Saccharomyces cerevisiae S288C: one gene and its partner. The gene in region 2 interacts genetically with the main gene of each other region. Each region holds a gene or a part of one and is shown on either strand. Other genes may lie near its edges.

Evidence for each region.
Region 1: of PRE7 (region 2) and YBR085C-A, changing one enhances a phenotype caused by changing the other (phenotypic enhancement), as found in Saccharomyces cerevisiae (one study listed by BioGRID).

Annotation. Positions count from the first base shown.
Region 1 is NC_001134.8:418,125-421,202, forward strand, and holds YBR085C-A (uncharacterized protein), read right to left. Parts: upstream 1,041-3,078; coding exon 783-1,040; downstream 1-782. Other genes in the region: IST2 (Ist2p), read right to left, coding at 2,077-3,078.
Region 2 is NC_001134.8:139,419-142,695, reverse strand, and holds PRE7 (proteasome core particle subunit beta 6), read right to left. Parts: upstream 1,450-3,277; coding exon 724-1,449; downstream 1-723. Other genes in the region: ERD2 (Erd2p), read left to right, coding at 1-584; FUI1 (uridine permease), read left to right, coding at 2,436-3,277. UniProt on the Saccharomyces cerevisiae protein: Non-catalytic component of the proteasome which degrades poly-ubiquitinated proteins in the cytoplasm and in the nucleus. It is essential for the regulated turnover of proteins and for the removal of misfolded proteins.

The DNA of each region.
Region 1 (3,078 bases), 280 kb from region 2:
GAGCTTTTCTATTCATGTGATACATCGCCTTTTAATTATATATAGTCATGTTTAAGGGATTTTAGAGGGTAAAACAAGTTATTGAAAGGGTCCGTAGTCGGCTGCGCAGGAAATGCCCTTTCATAGAGCGGACGTACCACAACGCGCATGTAGTTGAGCGCCGTTCCTGCTCTGATCATACTATACTAGACAGGGAAAAATCCATTTTTAAAACGTGTGACTGTTTTCCCTGTCGGTCCCGAAGTAAGATGAGGTTGCCTAATGAATAGCAGCAAACGATACTTTCAGTATTCGTCCTTTAAAGAATTTTGCACTTTTGACCAAGACCTCTGATTTGCGAGACCTCCCAGTTCGGATGCTTTAAGACACCTCCAAATCTCTAGAAAACTCAACTACAATGCGTCCAGGTATAGAGACGAAATTAATTAAATGAAAAACTTATACGTATACGAACTATCTACCAGCCTGTAATTCACTTATTTAGAATATTTATTTAAATTTTTTTTAAAAACATCAAAAGCAGACGGACAAACGTTTTAAACCAATGACAGGGTCATGGTAATAATAATAGCTTTATCTTTTTTTATTTCTTTCACTTTCGGTTGGTGAAATCAAGTACTTAAAAGACCTAACAAACTCTACAATTTGCGCCTTTCTTTCCCCTAATAGAACATGTTAGATTTATAAGCGAAAACGGAAAAGAAAACTACAGCCCAGCAATAAGAGTGCAAATCAAAGTGTGCATGAAGTGACTCGTATCGAACAAATATTTAGCCACTCGTTCAAGCCTGGCCGGCCAAATCCAAAAGATAATCTTTGGCCTCACCAATGATATTAGCGATGACTTCGCCGTCCTTTAGCACATAACCATGTGATTTATCCTCGCTTAAAACTGTTTGAATTTCATAGTTCTTTTTCTCTTGCTTCTTCAAAAACTCCTGGTACCCACTGACTGTCGTCAGTTCAACAGGTGCGCTTTGCAAGAAAGAACCGGTAGAATGAGTAAAATTTGTGCTTTGTTTGTATAGAGCAGATGACATGTTATAGTATAATGTAATTTATTGTAGTTGGTAACTTGAGCCCCTATCGAATGAAGAGTGCGCCGCTTTCCCTTATACAAACTGGAGCCGCAAGTCCTTTGTCCCTTTTATAATAATGAGATGATCCGGTGATAACTACTTATTGCCAGAAAAAGCCCAGATCAGATAATTAATGGGGGCAAACCAAAACAAGAAAAAAAACCGCGAAATGAAGTGCGGGTCAAAAAGAGGAAAAAGGAATATGGATAACATGTATGCGCGCACTGACGTAACTGCACGTACTTCAGAAGCAACATATATTCAACAAAACTAAGCAAGAAGATATTATTAGCTGTAACTATATCACATTTAGACTTACCCCTATCGTTCATACTTCCCACTGCAACCCTAGTTGTAGTTCTGCTAATAGTCGGCCAATCTTGAACATGTACTGTAAGGCCCAAAAGGGCTCCAGGGATGCCCTTCTACAAAGCATTTCACATGCTAATAAAAGCCCCGTTACATAATAACATCTCCCGCCCACAAAAGCGTTTGATCCTGTTTTTCTATTTGCTTCCATAAAAAATCGGATCACATTTCCTTTTCTTCCGCCTTAGATCTGCACCGAGATCTTTTGCGCTCTATTTTACCCCTAGAAACTGGACCCGGCCTAGAATCTTTCACTGCCACCAGAGAGTTTTAGCCTCGCTCTCTTTTAATTTGCTGAAAAAGGGTTTCCTGATAGAAGCCGCGGTTAATAGAAAAACGGCAAAAAAGTTATGGTCGGTATGTTCTACCCCCCTGGATATAATCGTGTGACTAACATACGTAATGAATCCTAGCTGTGACTCCTCTCGAACGAAGAAGAAAGAGGCAATGCATGCGTAGAAACTAAATCTTGAGATTTCTGTTTGATGAAAACACTGCACAAGGTAAAATGAATTATTCTTTTAAAATTAGAGATACATAAAACATACACTTGATAGAAAGAAGAATACATATTAATTTAATGTCACCATATTATAAAAATAAAATTTGTTATCGTCCTAGCTTTTTTTTAAAGCTTCTTTTTCAGCTTATGCAATAGCCCCTTTTTATGTTTTGGTTTTTCCTTTGCCGCCGATGAAGAGGAAGAGGATTCGGTTGTCTTAGAATTGTTCGTGACATTCTTCACTCCAGCATCACGATGGCGGTGGTGGTGATGATGATGGTGGGGCTGAGTAGCATCTGTAGTAGTAGTAGTAGTAGTATTGTTATTAGATGGTCTCGCAGAATCCTTAGTTTCCTTCGTGGAAATAGATCTTGATGGGCCATTTTTCGTGCTTACTTCAGTCTTTTTTGTTTGTTCAGTAGCCACTGAAACCTTCGATTGGTTATCGTTAACAGCTGCGTTGACAACAGGCTTAATATTTGCATCTTTAATGAGTGGAGTCTTAGTGGCAGCATCGTCTTTGGCCTGGGTATTTTCGTTATTTTCGCCACCAGTAACAGCAATTTTGGGTATTTGATCAATTTTTCTACTTAGTGCATCAACGGCGTCACCATCTGGCAAAAGCTTACTTTCCGTGCCTAAGGTGTTGTTATTGGTGGCGTTGGAAGATTCTGCACTGGATTTCGCATCCCTAATGGATTTACCGTCCTCATCAAACCTTAAGTAGTAATTTTTAGATGTTGGAATTGTTTCTGGTAAAGTGGCGCCCGCAACACCATATGAGCCAACGGTAGGCACCTTCACCAAAGAATTTCTTTTTTCAGTACTTTCTGTGGCCAATGGCTTTTTACCAGCAGATCCGGCTGTATCGTTATCAACAGCTTTGACTACACCGGTTTTGCTGCTAGAAGAAGAAGAAGATAATGAAGGCGAGGAGGCTGAGGATAAAGAAGACGGATCATTGTTGGCATGAGTGGCAGCATGTGCCTCATATCCATTGGCAGAAGAGGCAGGCTGTTTCTCACCGAGTTCTTGGTGCAACTTCTCATTCGCAGACCCTTTTCTTTGAACTAGTTCTTTTTCGTTATTCGAATTAAATTCAGGGGAGGGAATTTTTTCAAAGACTTC
Region 2 (3,277 bases):
CAAGGTACATTGAAGGTATTTCTTTCAAGACCCAAACGTTGTACGCTTTGGTTTTCATAACACGATACTTGGATCTCTTGACTTTTCACTGGGTATCCCTATACAATGCTCTAATGAAAATATTTTTCATTGTATCTACCGCTTACATTGTAGTGCTATTACAAGGGTCTAAAAGAACCAACACCATTGCGTATAATGAAATGCTTATGCATGATACCTTTAAGATCCAGCATTTACTAATTGGGAGTGCTCTAATGAGTGTTTTTTTCCATCACAAGTTCACTTTTCTTGAATTAGCATGGAGTTTTTCTGTATGGTTGGAGAGTGTGGCTATTCTACCTCAATTGTACATGCTATCTAAGGGTGGGAAGACTAGAAGTCTAACTGTTCATTATATTTTTGCCATGGGATTATACAGAGCATTGTATATTCCTAACTGGATTTGGAGGTACAGCACGGAAGATAAAAAATTGGACAAGATTGCCTTCTTCGCGGGACTTTTGCAAACTCTGTTGTACTCTGATTTCTTTTACATTTACTACACTAAAGTCATCAGAGGAAAGGGTTTCAAACTGCCAAAATAAAAAAAAAACCTGTTTTAAATAGTGTTCGCAGCAATATATACAAATTTCAATATATCAATGCTATACCAAAAGAAAAAAAAAATACATAAAATTGATGTTGATATTGGTCTATTTCTTTTTATACTATGATATGTATGCATTAATCTCTTTTTAGCTCATAAAATTCTTTCCTTACACCATCCTTGGTGACAATAAGGATTTCCAGCCCATCACCCACTTGTATATGTCTTTCTGTAGCAGAAGTGAACGAGTCTCTCACCAGTTTGATGACTTCTTCCACGGACAAGTATTTCAAAGGCTTTTTGACTTTACCGTTTGTACCTGGCTCATATTGATTTTTGAAATTAACCTGATTGTCCAAAAATGGCATGATCAATGATGCCGCAGCACCACCTGCTCTACACTGTTCTCTTTCGTAGGAGCCAACTGGGTCGAACGAATAGACAGCGCCCTTACCATCTTCGTCAAGACCCGCAATGATCGTATGAACGTAGTAAGGGAAAAACCTCTTCCCGTACAGAAGATGTTGAATGTTCCTTGCTGCAGAGTTTATAGATAGTTTTTTGTCGTTGTGGTCGAAATGGTACCATTTTACACTATTTTTGAATCTTTTTACTAAAGCGTCGCCGTCTGCTGCAAATCCATTCGCCGACATGACTATGTTATCACCACAATCAAAAACCTTGGGTTCATAACGAGAATTAATTGAGTAATCGGTGATATTTCTTGTATCGCCTGCTAACACTGCGAAATCTTCACCTGCAATGCCCAGGATTGTACCACCATTATCACCGTAAGGATTGAATTGATGTTCAATGGGTGTATTTGACGCCTCCGAAGAGTATTCTGATGCAATAGTGGCCATATTTTGTTTAACTTTATAGTTCAATAGTCTTGGCTACTCTCTTTCCAACTCAGTTCACCTTGTATTATACCGCTTGTTTTTGCCACCCTTTGAGTTTCCTCGATCCTTTAAGTTGGAAAAGATAAAAACAATTATCGCTCCGTACGAACACCAAATCTCTGCGACGCAGAGACGGCAATACAAAATCAGAAAAAAAAAACAATTTATTGCCTATGCTTCACTAGTCACAGGCTCTACGAAACATTGCTATCGCCTCACTGCCTTTACATCACTTAAGCAAGAAGTTTTAAATATTACGGCAATTCCTTTGCAGCAATACCTTTACTTTATTTCGAGAGAAAATAGATCGTAAAATGCCTACTCCAAGCTTTTAAATCAAGACTCAACCAAGCCCCCACACTTATCTTTAGAGACTAATGCCCTAACTCTTTCGACTGAACGGCTTAGAAGTCTCATGTCCTAGCTAGTTTGTCCTTGCGATGGGACACAAACGGCGCTGCCTCTCCTGCGGGCGATCAGAAAGAAGAAAAAGAAATGTGATTGAGCCATGCCACAAAGCGGTATGTGCCATTAATTTCTTTTTTTCTCCCCTTTCGCCTTTGAGTTTCTCCGCGGCGTTCACTGTGGTTGATGCTCGGGATTTGCCGGTTTCGTCCTTATCGCGCCATCTTTGCCATTAAAGGATGCTGCAATAAAACTTGGCGGTTCTCGCTACTGAAACTATTGTGTCAGCCTGGACAACACAGGGACATGTCGTATTTTTGAAAATTTTTGATCAATTCTCCAACGGAAAAGTTTTTCATTTCCTCTCTTGCTCAATTACTCGATGACATGCTATCCTATCTTTTATATAACAGTAGTATTGCTTCGACCTTCTTGTAAAATTTAAAACATAGTATTGGACAGCTTTGCTTTACTTTGCAGCACATTGCGGAAATAAAAGGCGGTAACTAGTCCTCTCATTCATTAATTCTATATAAGAGAAAATGCCGGTATCTGATTCTGGATTCGATAATTCTTCAAAAACAATGAAGGACGACACTATACCGACGGAGGATTACGAAGAAATCACGAAAGAGTCCGAGATGGGTGATGCGACTAAAATTACTTCTAAGATTGATGCTAATGTCATTGAAAAAAAAGATACCGATTCAGAAAACAATATAACCATTGCTCAGGATGACGAAAAGGTGTCTTGGCTGCAAAGAGTTGTCGAGTTTTTTGAGGTTAAGAATGACTCTACCGATTTGGCCGATCATAAGCCCGAAAATCCAATTAGGACATTTAAAGATTTACAGGAGTCCCTCCGTTCGACGTACTTGTACAACACAGATCTGCGGCCCGTGGAGGCAAAAAGAAGAACGTGGACATGGAAGCAGTACATTTTCTTTTGGATTTCTGGGTCCTTTAACGTCAATACATGGCAAATCTCAGCCACTGGGCTACAGTTAGGGCTTAACTGGTGGCAGACTTGGATCTGTATTTGGGTTGGATACACGTTTGTCGCATTTTTCTTGATACTGGGTTCCAAAGTGGGGAACAATTACCATATCTCTTTCCCCATTTCCTCAAGAGTATCATTTGGTATCTACTTCTCCATCTGGATTGTCATCAACCGTGTCGTCATGGCATGTGTCTGGAATTCTACTTTGGCTTATATCGGTAGTCAATGTGTTCAGTTGATGCTAAAGGCTATCTTCGGTACTAATTTGAATACTAGAATCAAAGACACCATAAAGAACCCCAATTTGACGAACTTCGAGTTCATGTGCTTCATGGTCTTCTGGGTCGCATGTTTACCGTTCCTATGGTTTCCACCTGACAAATT